Linked DNA regions of Rattus norvegicus. The protein of the gene in region 1 interacts with the protein of each later gene in a pairwise test. Links are inferred from orthologs where the notes say so. Each region holds a gene or a part of one and is shown in the gene's direction. Other genes may lie near its edges. The genes, in order: Fam168a, Rbfox1, Otub2 and Ss18l1.

The links.
Region 2: the proteins of Fam168a (region 1) and Rbfox1 interact in binary tests that used the Homo sapiens proteins (3 or more experiments, as listed by UniProt). The link is inferred for Rattus norvegicus from reciprocal best matches to the Homo sapiens genes FAM168A and RBFOX1.
Region 3: the proteins of Fam168a (region 1) and Otub2 interact in binary tests that used the Homo sapiens proteins (3 or more experiments, as listed by UniProt). The two-hybrid records come from large-scale screens. The link is inferred for Rattus norvegicus from reciprocal best matches to the Homo sapiens genes FAM168A and OTUB2.
Region 4: the proteins of Fam168a (region 1) and Ss18l1 interact in binary tests that used the Homo sapiens proteins (3 or more experiments, as listed by UniProt). The two-hybrid records come from large-scale screens. The link is inferred for Rattus norvegicus from reciprocal best matches to the Homo sapiens genes FAM168A and SS18L1.

Annotation. Positions count from the first base shown.
Region 1 is NC_086019.1:164,597,970-164,603,165, forward strand, and holds part of Fam168a (protein FAM168A), read left to right. Parts: intron 1-1,672; coding exon 1,673-1,798; intron 1,799-5,196.
Region 2 is NC_086028.1:8,659,929-8,665,124, reverse strand, and holds part of Rbfox1 (RNA binding protein fox-1 homolog 1), read left to right. Parts: intron 1-1,756; coding exon 1,757-1,832; intron 1,833-2,213; coding exon of another isoform or gene 2,214-2,361; exon of another isoform or gene 2,362-3,520; coding exon 3,521-3,643; 3' UTR 3,644-5,196. UniProt on the Homo sapiens protein: RNA-binding protein that regulates alternative splicing events by binding to 5'-UGCAUGU-3' elements. Regulates alternative splicing of tissue-specific exons and of differentially spliced exons during erythropoiesis.
Region 3 is NC_086024.1:128,319,146-128,324,341, forward strand, and holds part of Otub2 (ubiquitin thioesterase OTUB2), read left to right. Parts: intron 1-3,037; coding exon 3,038-3,133; intron 3,134-3,775; coding exon 3,776-3,894; intron 3,895-5,196. UniProt on the Homo sapiens protein: Hydrolase that can remove conjugated ubiquitin from proteins in vitro and may therefore play an important regulatory role at the level of protein turnover by preventing degradation.
Region 4 is NC_086021.1:187,527,467-187,532,662, forward strand, and holds part of Ss18l1 (calcium-responsive transcription coactivator), read left to right. Parts: intron 1-1,489; coding exon 1,490-1,566; intron 1,567-2,342; coding exon 2,343-2,427; intron 2,428-3,895; coding exon 3,896-4,040; intron 4,041-4,598; coding exon 4,599-4,796; intron 4,797-5,196. UniProt on the Homo sapiens protein: Transcriptional activator which is required for calcium-dependent dendritic growth and branching in cortical neurons. Recruits CREB-binding protein (CREBBP) to nuclear bodies.

The DNA of each region.
Region 1 (5,196 bases):
CCCTCTGCAGAAGCTGCACACTGTCCTGGCTGTCTAGCAAGGGCTCTGGGCTCTGCTTGGGGTTGGGCTGTCTCTGTTCCTCTTGCCAGATTCTCCTTTTAGTGTCACTTTCCTGCCCATGATTTCCTTCTCATTCCTCAGCATTTGCTGTATATATTGCGGGCCATCAATGCAAGCGGAGTCAGCCTCTGGAAGAACAATCTGATTCTAGTTCCAAAAAAAACCAGCAGAATGCACAACCTTCCCTAGCCATTATAACTCTGCCATAGAAGGAACAGAGATGCTAGTGGTAAACCAGGCGTCTCTGGAGGCAGCAAACCCTATAGGATCTATAGACCCAGCATACTTTCTTATTATGCTTCCTTCCCACTTACTAAAATATGTCAGGTTCATCTGATTGTTGTCAGTCCATCCCCTTACTGTTAATGTACTTTAGAACACTCTGTGTCCAAAACTCCCAACATCTAATTAGGATGGAAAAGATATTATAAAGAAAAAATTAATCATTTTTAACCTTAAAATAGAAATTTGTATCAAAAATGTGTCTCCTCTGGTATTTAAAAGGATAGTTTTCCCTTTCTTTCTTTCTTTCTTTCTTTCTTTCTTTCTTTCTTTCTTTCTTTCCTTCTCCCTCCCTCCCTTCCTTCCTTCCTTCCTTCCTTCCTTCCTCTCTTGCTCCCTCCCTCCCCCATCTCTTTCTCTCTTTCTTTCTCTCTTTTTCTCTCTCTCTTTCTTCTTTTGTGTAAAGGTATTTCCCCCCTGTTTCCTCTCTCCTTCCCCTCAGGTTACCATGACGGTAAGTTCGAGTCATTCCCCACCTCAAAATACTTACTGAAATTTCTCAAGCTGAGCTTTGAGCTATCCTATAAAATCTCTACAGATCTCAAACTAATTTCTGTAACATACTATGTACCTACCCCAGTTTTGACATGTATTTTCATAATGGCCAAAGGAGCATCTCTAACTCACGAGGAGCTGTCTCAGATGGAGTATTCAGTACTGCCTGTTAGGAGATACTCAGACATATGCAAGAAGTCTGTCTGTCTGACCGTGCTGGTGTGCAGAAGGAGTCGGCAAAGAGTGCCCTGTCCCATGGCCGATAGCAGAGCCACAGTGCTCAGGCCTTGAGGCTGCCATACACAGCTCGGCCGTGAGAAGAGATGCTGTCCCAGGGAGGCGCATGTAAAATGGTGGTTATTTGTCAGTTTTTCTCTGGAGGCAACTCACACTTATTAACCATACCTCAAATAAGTTTCAGACCACAGGGGATTTTTTAAAAAGACTCAGTTAATTTGGCCCACTACACTGTCAAAGACTTGCAAGTGTTCATGTTAATGAGAAGGTGGTAGAGGAAAATACCATTAGTCTTAGACCAGAAGGTGTAGAAAATGGTGATATTCAAGGGCCTCTTCATGGTTTTTATCACAGGTAGGGAAATCCTGAGTCTTAGCACTTAAGTGTAGGTTTCCTTGGATTTAAGTCATTTGGAAGCTCACTTCAGCACTCCTTCCAACCTACTATCCCATCTCAAAAAGGCTGACTCATTCTGTGTGTCTGAGCAGGCTCCTTGAGTTATGTTTCTGTCTAGCACAAGACCCTTGCTTTTGTGTCTGTAATTGGCGATGCCCACTTCTTATTTCTGCCTAATGCCGTTCTTCTGTCTTCCCTTAAGCCACTCTGCTGATGAAACAAGCCTGGCCACAGAACTCCTCTTCCTGTGGCACTGAAGGCACCTTCCACCTCCCAGTGGACACCGGGACGGAGAACCGAACTTACCAAGCATCCTCTGCGGCTTTCAGTAAATACAGCCTGTCTCCTCCTGTCCTTGTTCTCCTTGATTGGGACTGATTCGTTTGTAGCAAGAAAGGAAAGGGAATTTTTTAAAATGGCATTTTTAATGTTAACACCGTTTTAAGAGGTTCTCCTTCCTACTCAGGCAAGAAAATTGGACTTTGACATTCAAGAAAAATGTTCATCTTTGATCATGCCTTTAGCTTTAGGACACTATCCCACAGCAGAGAGAGGGGAGCATTCCTGGGCCAAGAACGTGGATTTGTGAGAGACTGTTACTGACTCTTAGGGGAAAGAACCAGGGCCCATTTGAAGGCCTTGTGTATTTTTGAACTGAGGCAGCTTTTCCCATCCACTGGTTTTCTTGACTTTAGCGCTGTTGCCGTCTGGGCCAGATAAGTTCTTGCCTATATGTGGTAGGATGTTTAGTAGGATCTATAGCCTCTGTTAGATGCCAGCAACAAAGCACACTGCCACACCCAAAAAAGTTCCTAGGTATGGCTCAGTATTCCCCTGGAAAAGAAAAGTGTCTTCTCTATAGGAAACATTGCCCTAGTTCATCTAAGTACACTGTGGGAACATGGCATGACGTAGACGGAAGCCAGCAGCCAGATTGGTCATGTCCATCCTGAGGCTCAGTGGGGTAACTGATGCTGTCACCTTTGTAGCGTTGGTAACAAAATGATTCCAGTGAAGACCCTCATTTAGAAAGTAGAGTGGAAGAACGTGTGCCTGCAGCAACTGTCGGCCATGGGAGTGGACAATGGTTAGCGTTGGACATGGGGCACCAATGTCTGAATTTATGCTAGCAGGCCCTGGACAAACCCTTAGCAGGATGTTGTAGGAAAGTAACCTACTAGGTAGGCTAAGAAAATTCATTGAATTTGTTATCTTTCCCTTTAAATATCCAGTGTCCTTGCTTTTGTTTTTTGGTTGAGATCAAGTGTAAATATCCACTGTTGGAGCTAGGGAGATGGCTCAGCCGCTGAAAGCACTTGGCTTTCAGTAACTCCAGTTTCAGGTGACCTAGTGCCTGCTTCTGACCTCTTTTTGTATTAGGCGTGAATGTGGGGCACATATGTACACAGGCAAATTCATACACATAAAATAAAAACAAACCTTTAAAAATAAATAAGTTAAATATCCAATGTCAAGCCTGTCATGGTAGCACATGCCTGAAGTCCTACCACTCAGGAGGCAGAGGCAGGGGGATCTCTCTGTAAGATAATAACTAGCTAGCATTGTCTACACAGTGATGTCCAGGCCAGCCAAGGCTGCATGATGGGCCCTTGTCTTTAATGAAACAGAAACAACAAACGTCATTTTTTCTCTGTTGTCATTGTCCTTACCTGTCAGCATTTACTAACTCAGCATGGCATACCTTTTTGTAGATTCTGCAGTTTCCAGGTGCTTCAAGTAGAGCTTAATGAACATGTGTAAGATTATATAATGTAAACTGAGTTGCACATACTTCACAAATGTATATGAATAAAGGCACAGTTACTACAGTGCAACAGAGAGACCTGGAGGGGAAGATACAGGACTCCAGTTCCACAGAACTTTGGGTGATTCATAGCTGCGCTTTGTTTCATAGTCTCTTGAACTGTATACAATGGTGGCCTTGGGCTAAGTCACTTTTAAAGTCCTTGCTAGTCACTGGACTCTTGAGTCTCTCCCTCAGGAGTTATTACCTATATCCTTCCCACGAAACCCTCTGTTCTAGCTGCCCTCAGCAGTAAGCCAGCCTTCAGGTTTGCTCACATACCTTTAGAAATAGTGGCCTCATTCGTCCAGAGGTTGCCCTTCCCACAGCTAGGTAGTCTTGAGTGTCTGATCTTCTGTGCTATATCTTCTCAAGGCCCAACAGAAATGTCCAGTAGTCACATGTTACTCTCCCCTCCTATATAGGCTGTCAAGTTTCTAGATAAGACCAAAAGGTATCACCTTCAAGCAAGCAATACATAAGTGGATGTGATTTTTTTTTTAATGGATTTGAGATTGATTGACTGATTGACTCATGCAGGCTCAAAGGCTCCCCCAAGCATTCATGTTTCATTGCTTTTACATTCAGGGCACTTTGACAAATTTATACCAATTTAACCAATACACTTGCTAAAGCCTGTTCATAATTAGCTATCCCTCTTACTTATTCAGTGCTTTATTGTTTAACTACCAACAAGGAGACAGAGGTCAAGGCAAGATTCAGACATGCAGTATTGTTTTGTCCAGACTTTGTCCAGATGTATAAATCTGATGATCAATAAACCAATTAGTGTAAAAAGTATCCTTGATGTGAAGATCGATGTCTGTGAACGTAGGCGGGACTGTATAACTGAAAAAGATTTATGACATTGAAGCAGAGTTAAGAGGCTGCAAAGGCTTTATCTTGCTAATGCACATGGTGTCTTTCTATTCTCCCGTTGATAAGCCTAAAGCTATGACTAGGAGCCCGAGACACACAGCAGGCAGGCATCGTAAACAAAACCTCTTTCTAAGGCAGAGCTGGCACTTCTTCTGACAGAACTCCTTTGTCTCATGACACTGCCTTTAGTGAAACGGGATACAAAGGCCAATATACCAGATGCCCAAGATCATACCGTAGAGACAGTTAACTCAGAAACCGCTCTACCCAGGGCAACATTAGCCTTGAACTCTGGAGCCAGCTCTAAGAGTATAGATGTGCCATGCGATTTTTGAAAAATTACTGGATTTCTAAGTTACAGTTTCTTCCTCTGAAAAGGAGCAGGTTGAATGTAAGCTTCAAATGTCTTTTAAGGGTATAGCCCCCCAAAGTTCCCATTCTGTGACCTTCAGATTCATCATTCATTTCAAAGTAGCTAGGCCTCCAGGCAATGAGTTGGCTCTAAATTTATTTGAGTAAAAATCCAGGAGATGATATTGCAAAAAGCCCAGCAACTTCTTTTACTTAGATACACAAAGTAATAAACCCTGACTTTTTATGATATCTAAGCCTGGGATAGTAGCCCTAGATTTTCAGTGTTCCCCAGGATGAGGTCAGGATATAGATGATGTCCTCATAGAAGTCCTTCTGAAATACTCAGGATTTAGAATGTCAGCATCAGAAATGCCCTCTGAAATGATCTAGTCCAAATGAAGATATTCCTGAGGCAGCACTGCCTGGAAAGGATCTCAAGAAAAAGCCTGAGCTTGTATGGTTTCTGCAGCCTCAAGGAAGATCCTTCTGCCCCTGGGGGTCACCTTGAGGTGCATTGTGGTGAGTGCTTCTTTGTGCAGCCATTCTCTGTTATCATCTCTCATCTGTGAAGTTCTCATCCTAGAGATTTCCAGCATCTCCTCCAGCTCTCCTTCCCATCCCAAGCTCCTAGAGATGAAAGCAGGCTATCGCTAGCCTTTCTTTGACTGCCCAGGGTATTTCGACATTGA
Region 2 (5,196 bases), on another chromosome or scaffold:
TTGTTTTGCCCACCTGGGGTCTAACTTGAGTCTGAAACTTTAAAGGTCCTTCACTCCGTTTGCCTCCCCATGATCCACTGTGTAAACAACCAAGTCGGCCAACCAGTAGGGTTCTCATCCAGTAACCAGGAGAGCAAGGATTTATGCCTTGAGCATGTAGCCACTTGATCAGTGTCCTGGCCACAGTGTCTTGTGTCAACCTCTTGTTTTAATAGACTCAGAGAGGAATGACTAGAAGGAAAATATGGAAAAGATAAAGAATGCTCAACTTGTATTTCAAGGCATCAACAATGAGTCTCCTCTGGTTGATAGAATACATGAACTCATTCTTATTTTTAAAAATAGACCACTAAATGGGTCTGGGGCATTCTTCATCCTTCAATTGCTATGAGTGTTGTTTGCTCCTGTAGCTTATCCATACCCACCCCAGCTCACACTTGGCTCTCTACTAATGGAAGCTATCTCAACTGGGTGCTTAATCACCTCACAGGAAAGTCCTTAGGTGGCCTTGGTATTACTTGGGTATTAAATAGCTTACCAACTTGCCTCCCCAGAGAGATCAGCTCTAACATGCAACCAGCAGGATCAGATGAAAGCCAGCCTCCAGCTCACTGTTCCCTGCTTCCTTCTTTTCTCTTGCTATGCCTGCCTCTTTCTCCTCTAGGGAGCATGCTCTCCACAAACCATTTAAGCTAGAGTCTCCATGTCACTCACACTTTCCATGGACCTTCTCCCAAGATTGTATCTGAACATTGAACAGTATCAAAACCTCACTGTTCAAATCATCCCCAGAAGCTATCTGGGAATTGATGTCAAACAAGCAAGGGCGTGATATTACAAATCAAGTGTGCACATCACCCTGGGAAGGCATTCCTGCTCCAAATGTCCCTACATCAAGAACTATCCCGAGATTGGATAAGATTCTAGGATACCAAGATCGAAACCAAACCAAACTATGATTTCTGAGTATGACCCAGGGTGCTTGGTGACAATCAAATAAGATGAAAAGACATCTAGCTCATCTGTTCTTGAGCACTAAATTTTGTTTGAGACACAGGGATTCTCAAGACCAGTTTATCATTTGCTTCCTGCCTGCCTCTGACTCTGAAGTAGCAACATCACAGTAGAAGAGAATGTGTGTGTGTGTGCGTGTGTGTGTGTATGTGTGTATGTGCATGTACATGTGAGGGAGGGAGTGTGTGTGTGTGCATGTACATGTGAGGGAGGGAGTGTGTGTGTGCATGTACATGTGAGAGAGGGAGTGTGTGTGTGTGTGTGTGCATGTACATGTGAGGGAGGGAGTGTGTGTGTGTGTGTATATATGCATGTACATGTGAGGGAGGGAGTGTGTGTGTGTGTGTGTGTGTGTGTGTATGTTTACAGTTATATGCCCCATCTATGGAGTGTTCCCCTGAGACATTTTACCCCCAAGGTTTTCATGCTTTGTGTAAATATAATTTGTGATGTTTCAAAAACAAAATCATAGGATGATGCCTTTCTCAGAATGGGTCCCCATCATTAACTTGAACATGACCGTATGTGGAATACATCCCTAAGACTGGCTGTGTCACGTGTGTCACTAGGCTCAGTCTGAGTTTCTTCTTATCCTGCAGTGGAGAGGGGCGTTTCATGTTTTAGAATGAGGACAACCCCTCCATGCTCTCTTGGTACTCTCTCATTGCTGCTCTAAACACAGTGGAATCACGGTACCTCAGCGACCATCATGAACCACTCTCACCTCTTCTTCCCTTTGCAGTTACGGACGAGTTTATGCTGCCGACCCCTACCACCACACACTTGCTCCAGCCCCCACCTACGGCGTTGGTGCCATGGTGAGTAGCAGCTCCTCCTTGTCCTCTGCTCCTCCTGCTGTCTTCCCTGCCCCCCACCCCAGCTGGGGCCTCAGGATGGGCTGATGGTTGAAGTCCTCTCACTTTCCCTTAATTGAATTTGTCTCTTGTGCTAACAGCAGCTAAAATGCCACATTAATCCTCCCAGTAAACTTGATAAATGTCTTAATTTCTTGGCAATGTAGTGCATGTAAGTTATTATATTTCTAATTTTGCAAGTCTCACCTAGCGAGCACTTACCTTAATGGAATAATTAGTCATTTTGATAATTAAATCCATCACTAACGGAATGCAGTGTCAATGCAGAACTTTTTTTTTCTTTTTTTTCCCTTCCCTCCCGTGCTGCTCTGCTCATTCACATAGCCCCAAGGTTCCAGCCCCAGCACAGACTTCAGAGGAGCTAAGCTGCAGACTTCCAGGCCTCTGCTGTCAGGCAGCTGAGCATCTGCCTGCCTCTCCTCCCCTTTTACAATTCATGTTTAAAGTCATAGTCGCCCAGGAGAGAAAGTAGACAGAGGGGCACACTTTGTGAGTGTGCCTAGTACATAAGAAATTAAGGAATCAGCTGGCTTTGGGGGGGGTCATCTTGTTTGTTTTGGGTTTTTGGGTTTTTTTTGCAGTTTTTTTTTTTTTTTTGTTTTGTTTTGTTTTGGTTTGGTTTTTTTTTTTTTGGTTTGTTGTTTTTTACTTTTCTTCTTGGAGGGTGGGATATCTGGGATTTTGGTTTTGCTTTTTGTTTTGGGAAGGGAAAGGGGGAGGGCAACAGTGGGGGGCAAGGGTAGGGTGAATCTGCCTGTACTTGTTCAAACTTCTATGCACTAACACTCTTGAGTCCAGTAAGACATGTCCATCGCGTTGGGCGCACATGCGATCAATTCAGCGCCTTGGCATGCAGTCTTCTGCTTGAGTTGAGAATCTTAGTCCTCTCCCTAAAGCTCAGTCCCATGGGCATTCATTGGAATCGCCAATAACTGCAGCAAAAAGAAACGCTTAAGTGTCACCTCATCGCCATAGGAAGCTATGGCTAGACAATTCCCTGTATCCTGGATCATAGAGACCCAAGCAGGCATAGAAGAGCCTTCTTCAAGCTTAATCACACCCAGCAATGCCCCTGTCCCACCCCCACGGAGGCAGCATCAGAATCCGTAGGTTGCCTAGCCAAACCTAGATGCAGGCTTTTATTCTTATTTCAACATGGCATCCAATAACCCTGCTTCAACACCTAGGCCACCTGAGGAAAAGGGTGGAAAAGAATCCTGAGTCCCTGCATTCGCCACATTGTGTAGAACTACCTTTGAATATACATAGAGCTTCTCCCAGTGGAACATCTTATCAATTATTCCAGTCACTGAAAAACAAACGGTAAACTGAGTCAGTTCCTAGCCATCCACTTCCCCATTTGTAAACTGGAGGCCTCATAGCTGGTAGGTAGGACCAGCAGATCCAGTTCAGTTTCCTGGGATTATTATTTTTTTCATAAGGAGTTACAGGAGGAGGTCAGGAGTGACCACCATTAACTTTCTAAGAAGGTCATGGGATGGGGAAGGGGGTGCCCTCTATTTTGGTTGGTTTTGAGTGTCTATTTTTTTTTACATTAGTCTTTTTGATGATCCACATGTTACAAAAGGCAACATGTAAAAAAACACACCCCTCAAATTGCTTTGTTTCAGAATGCTTTTGCGCCCTTGACCGATGCCAAGACTAGGAGCCATGCTGATGATGTGGGTCTCGTTCTTTCTTCATTGCAGGCTAGTATATACCGAGGGGGATACAACCGTTTTGCTCCATATTAAATGATAAAACCATTAAACAAACAAACAAAAAACAAAACAAAAACAAAAAAACCAACCTTCCAATGTGGGGAGAGAGGAAGCTTTCCGAGGCCCGAGTGTTGCGACACATGCAGTAGGACATCACTTTAGCAACTCAAAGAAACAACTAAAAAAAAAAAAAATCAAAAAAAAGAGGAAAAATTACATTTTTTATCTTATACCTCAGATATTTTGTTCTGTGTATTTTAATATTGTGGGTCTTTGGTTTATGAAGGTTTTTGTAGTTCAGTTGCTGGCTGTAGGAGTTTTTGTGGTTGATCTAGAGAGAGGCTAGATATAAATAAAAACCGATTTAGGGCCATATCCAGAGTGCTATATTATGTAAATGGATTATATATGCCGAACATGAAGCTACTGGGGTTACGCTGTTTGGGAAGACTGTAAGTGGCAAGTCATTCTTTCTGCATCTATATTATTTTATTCTGTGAAAGGGGAGGCCGGGAGGGGCTTAGGGGTTTGGGACTGGGGTTTGGCTGAAAGGAAAAAAAAAGAAAATATATATATATATAAATACATATATATAGTAACTGATGAATCTAAATGACCCACTGCACCAACTATCATAAATCTATGGTTCGAAGTTACTCCTGGCAAAGGCAAGCCAAAGGCTGTGTTAAGAATCTGCTTCTTATAGCACGGAGATTGCAGTTGAACGAAGCTGTGACGGTCCGCCCTCTTATCATTCCACCGCAGTACGCAGCTTCTTACCTACCCACTAGTTATTTAAGCCAAGGCTACTAGTTAGGCCATCAATAAGCATTCTTTTTATATTTCTTCCAGTATGAGAAATTATTGATATCACTGCTGACTTTTATATTACGGGAGGGAAAATTAACATTAATAAAAGGTGATAAAAAGCACTGTTTCTATTTTTTTCTTTTTTTCCAAAAAAGAAAGTAATAAAAACTTAAATTCTTTGTACCAGTTAAAAATATGTATAAAATTTACATCTGTGCAGTGGAGTTATGTTCTAGAAACAGTCTCTGAGGCTTTAGTTTTAGCTTAGTAGATTAACTGTTAGAGACAGACGTATAATTTTTATGGAATTACATGATAATCATATCTGGATTTATAGTCGCATTTTACAAGTATCGCAATCATTGAATAGAGATAATCACGGTATTTTCATCAGCTTGATACTTTTTGAAAACATGACTGCGCTGTGAGCAACTTGCAATTTTTCAGTCTGTGAGAGCCTGCCCTTCCTTCTCCCCAGTGCCCCAGGGTTATGTTAAACTGGTGTCTTTACTTCTATCGCCAAGGCCCAAGACAATTGTCAGAAGGAAGCAAAAACAAGACAAAAAACAAAACTAGAACCATGCCCTCCTTCCCCAAAGAGCAGTGTCTGCCGCATCCTTTTCCGGAGCAGGGCCAGAGCAACACAGCCGAAAAATTGCAGCTTGTGAATTTCTTCTGTTTGAATCCCCCCATGTTGTCCTGTTTACAAGTTAACCTAAGTTGGGGTATCTGTCATGGGTCTTCCTGTTTTTGTATTTAAATTCTAAAATATCAGC
Region 3 (5,196 bases), on another chromosome or scaffold:
CCTGATGCCTACTCAGAAACGGTCAAGTAAATATGGCTGCTGGCTGGGCATCCTTCTGTGTCCCCTATACCCCTGGCATCTTTATTGCTGGTGTTTGTTTGGGGCCAGGATTGAGTGCAGGTTCACCAGATACAGTCGGGGCGTCGTGCTCTGTAGCCTGTTGTTGGAAAACCCCATGCACTGTTCTAAGTCATCCACCTGTAAAAATACTTCTATAAACAGTCATGAAGCGGATAGCAAGACATGAATGAATTAACAAGGGAGCAAGAAGGCGTTTGGTTGAGCAGAACATGTGGCCACTTGCCAGGCAAGGGGCCCATGGGTTACCTTGCCATGCACACAGGGTGTGGAGAGGGCTGTTCAGAACGATACCGCCCCATGGGGATTTGTGTCTTCAACACAGTGTTAGCAGACTTAACCACACACCAGCAGCTGTGTGTTATATAAATGATGTCACACTTCCATCATTCTGAACAATATATATATAGTTATATATATAGCTATATGTATAGTTATTATTAATATATTAAATATATTCTATACATAATTATTTTACATATATATTTAAATATATGAATGTATGTTTATATATACATGTGTCTATATTCTAAACATACATACACATCTATGAAGTCAACAAAGTTATCTTGGCCTAAGGTTTTTCTAAACCTGCAAATGGAATGGAGCCTATCCAAGCTATGAGCCTGAGGTCTGTGAAACTCTGAAAGGGAGACAACTAGGAAATGGGAAGGAAGAACATAAGGAAGAAGTTGGTACCTTCTTGGCACGGGTAGAAGGCTCAAAGCAGGTGGAGGAGGGGCTGTCTCCCCCTCTGGCAGTGGGCCCTGCTCTCCTGTCTTTGTTTGCCTTGCAGAGCTAGGAATGAACCCAGGGCCTTGCACATGCCAGAGCAGCTCACCCACTATTCAGCCACACCCTCAGCCTGCTGATACCTTTCAATGGCTGTGCCCGGAGTCACTTGAGAACTGTCCCTTGACACTCTGCAGTAAGCATCACACACTGTCCAGGCTCTTGGACACACTGAACTCCCATCAGGAAGTGGGGTGGGGTGGGTTGAACAGTGTCTCTTGGGGTGCTGCAGAAGCGAGAAGTTGGACCCAGCCTCTGGATTAGAAGGCCACACACTGCCCCGGATAGGACAGTTCTTTGTGCTGTAGCAGCTGAGTCCTTTGAGAACTCTGGCATCTGGGCTGTGTGCATACCCAGCAGTTTGGTGTGTCTGAACTTCACAGGGACCTGCAGGAATCACTTCCTAGCTCACACAACCTGACCTTGGCGGTGGGTATAATCGCCACCTCATAAGAGTGTTATGATAATTGAGATAATGGGGCCATGTGAACCTCTGCTCCCGATCTTGGCACACAGTAGTGCCCAGTGATGGCACCCATCACCCATGTCACACATTGATTGGGCTTAGAGTAGCAGCAGATCATCGAACCATCCTCCCTATGTTGGCTTTCAACCTCTGGTCACAGAGTGGCTGCTGTAAGGTAGACATTGCATCAGCATCTCTGCTCTTTCATCCCAAACCAAAAGCTTTCCCAGAAGCCCCAGCAGGCTTTGTTATGGGCCTAGAATACGCCAATTTGGGTAATTAGTTTGTCAGCTTGTCCCAAGGATCCCCTGTACCTACCAATCCTTTGAGAGCTGGGATCAGAAGCAGGTTCCTCATCTAGCCTGAATACGTACTCTGGGGATCTGAACTCTGATCCTCACACTTAAAAGACAAGTGGTGTATTTACAGAGTCCTGTCCTCAGCCACAGAAACCTTATTTTAAGCTGGAAAATCCTTTATATGAGTCAAAAAGCACTTAAAGAGCAATCTCTCTCTCTCTCTCTCTCTCTCTCTGTGTGTGTGTGTGTGTGTGTGTGTGTGTGTGTGTGTGTGTGTGTGTGTGTGTGTGTGTGTACGTACAAACCACTTACACGGTTAGAAGACAGCTTGTGAGAGTTGGTTCTCCCTTTCCCCGATGTGGGATCCTGGATCAGCCTCAGGTGGTCAGGCTTGTTAGCAATCTGAGACATCTCACCAGCCCTGGAATGTTTGTTTGTTTGTTTGTTTGTTTTGAGACAGGGCTTCTCTATGTAGCCCTGACTGTCCTGGAACTTGCTTTGTAGATCAGGCTGGCCTTGAACTCAGAGATCCGCTTACCTCTGCCTCCTGAGTGCTGGGATTAAAGGTGTGTGCCACCACCGCCCTGCAGCCCGACACTTTGAGGTTTGCTCTGAGGAGAGCACCATTCCTGGTGGCTGGTGGTGAGGGTACATGGCCAGTTGGCTGAGCCCCAGCCCTGAGCACTCTCACCCCAAGCTTAGTAAAGGAGCAGAGGTGGGGAGGTGACTACCACTCCTCCATCCATGGCATCCTCTGTCGTCTCCCACCTGCTTTTGTAAGGACTTAAGAGACCATGGCTCAGACTTGGTTCTGGCCTTGATTCAGAGCTGGGTTACACTGGTAGGCAATATGGGAAGATGTCCTCAATGCCTCAGCCCTTGTGTAAACTCAGATTGTTACCCTTTCCCTGAACCCTCACACACACACCCCCAGTGCCACACAGGGTCACCCCATAGCTAACCTTCACCCTGTGGTATCACTGGCTTTTGTGTAGGGATGGGAATACCCCTGTATTGCCAGCATGTGGTGATGTTAGGCTTGGCACAGGCTGCATGTTAAGGAACTGGGGGACTCGGGTGAGTAAAGAAAAGAATGAATGAATGAATGAATGAATGAATGAATGAAGAGGCAGGAGCATACTCCAGCATAGAGATTTATTAAGTCTGAGGTATTAAATATATTGAAATGAACCGGTTAGTAAGCTATAAGGTTAGTTCTTTGTAGCCAGGTTACCTCATGCTGGTGCCAGTCCTTATTGTCCTGGTCAAAGGCTTACACTTCCCTTGAGAGAACAGGTCATGTTCTAGATTGTGTACCCCGTTGGTTGTTCAGAGGCCATCAGCTCCGTGAGCGCTGCAGGTGTCTTTGAAGCCAGCTCAGCATCTCTTCTTTCTCTTTCAGAGTGAAACATCTTTCAACCTAATATCAGAAAAATGTGACATTCTATCTATTCTTCGGGATCATCCTGAAAACAGGATTTACCAGAGGAAAATCCAGGTGGGGCAGAGGGCAGAGGGGCCAAGAGCCTAAACAAAGAGGGCTGGGGTCGGGAGTAGAGAAGGGGGCAGCTTCTGGTCAGCGTGGAGTTTGGGCCAGGTTCCTGTGCAAACTGAAACACACTTAGACCATTCTGACATTGTGCATTTGCCTCAGAAAGCCTCTCTTTGTGGGAACACCACACATTTTAAAGCTGAGCACCAGTGTAGCACTGGATTCACTTGCTTGACTCCTCTCTGGTGTGGTCCGGCACTCCCCACACCCCTGAGAAACCTTTAGAGAACTGCCGAGGTTGCCTAGTGTTCTGCAGCCTCCCTATCACCCACCCCACTCAACTGCCAGCTTCCTCCAGGAAGCCTTCCCTGACTGCCAGAGTCTGGTATGTTTGTCTCTGGCCCAGGACACCCCAATCATGTCCTCAATCTCTGTCACCATCATCTAATTCTGTGGTACCTCCCCCAACTGGAGGCTGGCTGGTGCCCAGGAACTGACATCCTCTGTGTCTGACACCGCAGTGTATTTGTGTATCTGTGGGATGGATGAGGGTGGGAACCCTGGTGGGAGGGAGCTGTGGCCAGGCCAGTGACTGACCCACACCAGTGTTGCTGCTGCTGAGGTCCATGTGTCCTCCTCTCCCCTTAGGAACTCAGCAAAAGATTCACCTCAATCCGAAAGACCAAAGGAGACGGGAACTGCTTCTACAGGGCCTTGGGCTATTCCTACCTGGAGTCTTTGCTGGGCAAGGGCAGAGAGATCCTCAAGTGAGTGGGGCCTGTGTAGACTCTTCTGCTTCTCTGTTAGAGCCGGCTTGTGTAGCAGGGGAGCTGAGAGCTGGCCACTGTGCCAGTGTTGATGGCAGCCCAGAGGCTCAGGAAGGTGTCTGTATCTGTTTGACACTTCCTCCAGCATTGCCTGAAGGCTTGGTTCACCAACACTGGGTGGGCGCTTGGTATTTACTGCATTTACTGCACAATGACAAACAGACGTGGTGGCACTCAGTCAAACCCTGTTTTAAACACCAACACAAGAAAGAGGAGGAGGTAGAGAGAAGGAAGGAGAAGAGAAAGAAAAGGAAGAGGGAGAAGAGGAAAAGGAAGAAAGAAAGAGAGAGACGGGGGGGGAGAGAGAGAGAGAGAGAGAGAGAGAGAGAGAGAGAGAGAGAGAGAGAGGAAGGAGGAGGAGCAGGAGGAGGAGAAGGAGGAAGAGGAGGAGGAAAAAGAAAAGAAGAAAAGAAGAGAAAGAAAAAGAATACAAAAGGAGGAAGCTTGTCCCTGCTGGCCTTGGTCATGTTCGTGTGTATGTGTGTGTGTGTGTGTGTGTGTGTGTGTGTGTGTGTGTGTGTGTGTGTGTGTGTGTGTGTGTGTGTGTGTGTGACAGAGCACACTGTGGTGTGTGCAGAGAGACCAGCAGATAACTTTAGGAATCTTCTCTTCCCTTCCACTGCATGGAGGGGCAGCCACATTACCAAGCCCTCTTGCTGGACCTTGACCCCGATAGAGAGTGGGGACAGCCCAGTGCCAGGCTGGTCCTGAGGTTCACGAAGAGCTGCTTGGTGGCCAGGTCAGGTGTCTCACCACGCTCGTGAGGGCCCCGTGGCCTGTGTCAGGATGGGCCTTGTATTGCAGGGATGTGGATTAACAGTCATGAAGCTGGGGTTGAGAGCAGGGAGGCCTGACAGGATAGGTGAGCTGGTATTAGGACGGATTACTGGATTACTGGCTACCCCACAGAAGCAGCCAGCAGCAGAGATCTGAGGGACAGAAGCACATGCTGGGGCCCATGGCACTCCCACCTCAGGTGTGTAACATTCCCTGGCCACTTAGAAGCATAGTGAGTACTAAACAGGAAATTGGGCTCTGAGTATTATTTTCAAAATTACATTTACTTATTGTATGAGTGTTTGCCTGCATGTGTGTATGTGTCCTCGGTGCCAGAAGAGGGCATTTGATCTTCTGGAACTGGAATTACAGATGGTTGTGAACTCGTGCTTGGAATCAAACTTGGATCCTCTGCAAGAACAAGTGTTCCTTAACAATGAGCCATCTCCATCTGGTTTTCAGTAT
Region 4 (5,196 bases), on another chromosome or scaffold:
AGAAGAGGATGCTGGGAGCCTTGCCTGTGGGGGGCGGGGGTGGAGGTAGGGGGTTGGAGTGAGTGACCAGTGACCCTGGAGAAAGTCCTTCCCTGGCCTTTAGATCACTCTTAGGCATCACTAGCAGCTTCTGTGCAGCAGCGCCCCCTGGTGGGCACTCAGTGCAGGATGTGTTGTCATCTCCGCAGGGGAAGGAAAACAGTGGGGAGAGGGGGCGCTTTAACCTACAAAAGAGCGGGACAGGAGAGACTACACTTAAGGCTCTATAGGCTAAGTAAGGTGTGTGAAGTTGGGAGCTGGTCTCAGGGAGAAGGCAGGTCCAGGAACCCGCAATGCAAAGTAGAGGGAAGGGCATCAGGCAGCCTCAAGGAACAGGGCAAATGTGTTTCTGTGAAGGTGGAGGAAGGGCCTGCCTGCCTGTCATGAACACTCAAGTATAGACCCTAGAGCAGGTGTTCCAGGGTTCCTCCCCCAGGGACCCTGGTCACTCCAGGTAGAACATGGCTCAGCGCTGCGCCTGCTGGCTGTCCTCTGCCCACTGGCTTGCCACACTTCTACTCTCCCCTCCCATCTCTCCCTCACTTTCTCAGATGCTCCTCAAGGACCATGGGGTGGCAGAAGGCCCTGTGTGCTGTGCCTGTCCACAGGCTTGGCCCACTTCCCTCACAAGCATTTGCACTGCCCAGTGATCCTGATCTCCAGTCTGTTACCAGTCACTGGAACCAGTACATCCCAGGATAGCCCTGGGGTCTGTGGAGGTCAGACCTCACATGACTGAGTTTGGGAAGGGTGCCTGCACATCCTGGACACCTTGGGAGCTCAGTCTTCCAGCACCGCCATGTGTACCAGCCACCTGGGCAGGTCCAGGCTTGGGGGGTCTATGTTTCTGACCGATTCCCTACAGTGCTACAGCCAATGAGTGTGGGCTATGCCTGCCGGAGTGAGGATCAACTTCCTTCTCCCTGGAACAGTCTCTGGTTCACGCCGCATTTCTGGGAGCCCACGGTCCATCTCCGCCATGTCTGTACCTGCCTGTTCACACATCACCTCCATGAAGCTGTTTTCTGATCCAGGTCCCATATGATGTGTAAGACAGTCTCAAAACAGTGCCGGCCTCTGCAGAGTGTAGCCCGGGCCTCTGCCACCCTTCCTTTCATGTCCTTGGGTCTCAGGGAGATCCAAAGGGACGAGGTTGCAGATTGGTAGTCCTCTTGTTGTTTTGCCTGCTCTTGTGCGCCTACAGTGCCTCCTTCCATACATTCATCTCCTGGGCTTCTCTCACTGGCCCAGGCTGAGCATAGCCCACGGGGATGGACGTAAGCTGCCTCTGCCCTCTTGTGGAGTTGAGGTTTGAGGGTCTGTGGAGCTCTCTAGGTAGGTGCCAGGACCTGGAGTGGGTGCCCTTACCGCATTCCCCAAGGGTCCTGGCATCCTAGATGTGAACCAGCTGCTGTGTGACTGCGTGCACCCTGCTTACCTCTCCCCCCAGATGCTGGATGAGAACCACCACCTGATCCAGTGCATCCTGGACTACCAGAGCAAGGGCAAGACAGCCGAGTGCACCCAGTGAGTAACCAGGCCAGCCAGGGACCCAGCCCACCGCCAGTCTCTGTGACTGCCTTTTCCACGTGCTGGGAAACTTCCTTGGTGCAGAGCAGAGGGAGGTCAGGTGTGGTCTCAAGAGAGCAAGTGGGGTGGGAAACCTTCTCATCGGGGATTGGGGGAAAAAGAGGCAAAGGGGAACATGGAGAGGTGTTTGTACAGCCTCCATCCATGGGGCCAGCAGTAGACCCAACCAGAAGACAGCTTGTGCCTCTGGGTGGGCAGAGTACCTCAGACCTCTCTCACACTTTCACGAGGGGCCTCCTGGGTCCTCACCTCATGCATCTGGTCAGAGAAAAGTGAGACTTTGCCCGGTGCGATGTGTGGGTGAGGAGCCTCAGTCCTCTGGACCCTTCCTGTTTTCTTCCAGGGCTCTTCAAGATGTCTGCTCTATGGGGTCAGCCTCACATCTGGCTCTGTGGAGCAGGGCTCTGTTCCCTGTTGTCCTGCCATGATCACCTATTCTCCCATTGATCCAATAGCACCTCCCTCCTGACTCACACCTCAGGGTCTTCCCAGGGTTCAGTCATTGGAGCAGGAGCCTGCTTAGGTCTTGGCTAGACCTGTTCCCCGCCTATCCCTCACTGGACTGTGGAAAGCAGCCAGCTGCCCGTTCCCAGCCTAGCGTCACTGTTCGCTGTCCTGCCAGGCTGGAGGTTGGGGCTGACTCGGTTAGACTTTGCCTCTACCTTGGGTGTGGCCGCTTGTCCTGCCTTACCTGAATGCTTCTCCCTCCGCAGGTACCAGCAGATCCTGCACCGGAACCTGGTCTACCTGGCCACCATAGCAGATTCCAACCAGAACATGCAGTCTCTGCTTCCCGCGGTAGGTGCCGCAGCCAGTTTCAACCAGTTTCTGTGTGTGTCGCCTCAAGTAGACAGGTGACCCACAGCAGCCCAGAGCTATGAGGCATCAGAAATTGGGGGTTCTGGGAAAACCCCTGTCCCACAGGGAAAGGTCGTGAATGGCTGCGTTAGATGGGAAGAATTGAAACGTAGCCTGCTTAGTTTAGGGAAGTGGCCCCAGAACCAACCCTGGGGAGTGTTAACGGTGAGTGTCATGACCAACGGGAGAGGTCTTTTTGCCTTTGTTGTAAATCGTTTCCTCTTTGTTTCTGTGGTGCTGAGGCTTAAATGCAGAGCCTCATACACTGTAAGCCTTTCCAAATGGCGTGCACAGTCCCAGTGCATATGGGTGTACTGCTGGGATAGAAAAATAAATGTCTTGCTAGGTGTACTCCTTCAATCCTAGCACTTGGGAAGCTGAGGTGGGAGGATTGCTGTCAGTGTGAAGTCAGACTGGGCCGTATATCAAGTACCAAACTAGCTGAGGCTACACCCCATGAATCCTGTCTTTTAAATTAAAAAGAAAAAGGAAGTTAATGGGGGAAATCTCCAGTGCGGTCACGGTCCAGATACCGCTATAAATATTTTATTGTCTGTTTGATTTTCTGTAAATGCATTTTCCCCAAATTAAACTTTAACTGTGATGTCAGATTGTGTGACCGTGGCCAAGTGAGGTTACGTGGCCAAGAGAAGGAGCTACCTACCCCGTGATGACCAAAGCTGACTGCAGGTGCCAGGGTAGACCAGGAAAAGACTCGTCCCTTAGTACGTGGCTCCCTTGGAAAGTGGAGGTGCTACAAGTGGCATTACCTTGGTCAGCTGTGATGTGGCTCCTGCTGGAGACGCCCCATCTCATTTCTTTTCACTACTAGGGCTGACCTGGAGCTATATGCGTGTGAGGCTATGTCCCTGGGTCTCTTTTTACCTCTTAGAAATAAGTTTTAAGTCTCCAGGTCTAATTGTTTTGCCCATACTGAACTTGAACTCTGTAGCCCAGGCAAGCCTTGAACTTGTCATCCTCCTGCCTCCACTTCTCTACTGAGACTGTAGCCCTGCAGCACCAGGCCTGGCTGGGAGCTCCTTTTCTCGGCCAGGTCTAGATAGCGTGTGTGTGCAAACCTTTGCAGCCACTGTTTGGTGAGGAGAAGACCCACCTCCTTCTTCACCATGTGTTTGGCTGAGGGGATGGATGGAGGATGAGAAGGGAAAGCAAGTGAAAGGAGCGGAAGCCAGCTTGTGCACTGACTGGTTCATTGATAAGATGTGGGCACTAAGACCCAACAGCCAGCTGATTTGTGTCTGAACGTCAAGAATGTCTCAGCTCAGCTCAGCACCATGCTGGCCGGTGGCTGTGCAGTTCTCGTGGGTCACTTGAGTCCCTGGGATGGCTCTTGGTGCTTATTCTCTGAGGTAACTCTCTCTCACTCCAACCTCTCTGTTGTCTACAGCCTCCAACCCAGAACATGAACCTCGGGCCCGGAGCACTGAGTCAGAGCGGTTCCAGCCAGGGCCTGCACCCCCAGGGCAGCCTCAGTGACACCGTCAGCACAGGCCTGCCCCCTGCCTCCCTCATGCAGGGCCAGATCGGTAACGGTGAGCAGGTTTGCGGCAGCGATGTCACCAAGCTAGCTGTAGATAGTGGGTTTAGTGGCAGCCTACACCCACCAGGGCTGGGCACAGTGCCTTCCCTCCTGTCGTGCAACCACCTCTCTCCCACTGTCCTGGCTGTAGGTATTCCTCTAAGCCTAAGTGTATGTGGTGGTTGACTAACCATGCAGAGGACATGAGGCTGACTCCAAGTGCCCGGGTCTGTTTGACTCTGTCCTGTGGCGTTTAATGTACGGTCGTGTGCTTCTGCGTGCATCCTTTAAGAACAAAGGTGTGATGGTGCCTCTGCTCGTGCTGCAAAATAAGAACTCCTTATACCAACTGGGGGCTCTCAGGAACAGTGACACGGGGTGTGTGTGTGTGTGTGTGTGTGTGTGTGTGTGTGTGTGTGTGTGTGTTCATTAATCACTCGCCCAATTCCTAAGTATTACTGACCTGGGGCGAGCCTTCCTCCTCAAAGTCATCTGAAGGGAACTCAGACGTCTTTACCTTGAGGTGGAAACCTCCAGTGCCTGATGCTCCCTCTCCTACCCTTCCTGGCAGGTCCAAACCACGTGTCCATGCAGCAGACGGCTCAGAGCACGCTGCCCACAACCTCCATGAGTATGTCAGGCAGTGGCCATGGTACTGGGCCTGGGTACAGCCACTCGGGACCTACGTCGCAGAGTGTCCCCATGCAAGGCCAAGGTGCCATCAGCAACTATGTGTCTCGGACCAACATCAACATGCAGTCCAACCCAGGTACTGTCTGTCCCTGCACCTGGCCCGTACCTGTGGCCAGCTCCCAACCCTGGCAAACACAGGCAACTTGTCTGTGTAGCCCCTAAGGGCAGCCTTCCTGGTGGGTGCTGTGGCTCCTCCCTGGGCATGTCCACAGGGTTGGGTTGGTGGAAAAACAGTGACTCAGCCCTGAGTGGTTGCTCAGAGGCCTCGGCAATTCCAAGGAAAGGGAGCCATTGGCTGTGGGACTTGTAAGAGGAACACTGGTTTCAGGAGAGGGACCTCTGTCAAAGGCTGGAAAGAGAAAAGGTAAATGGAGGTCACGGGTGCTAAGATGGAGGTCACAGATGTGGAGGTCCCAGGTGCTAAGATGGAGGCCACAGATGTGGAGGTCACAGGTGCTAAGATGGAGGTCACAGAT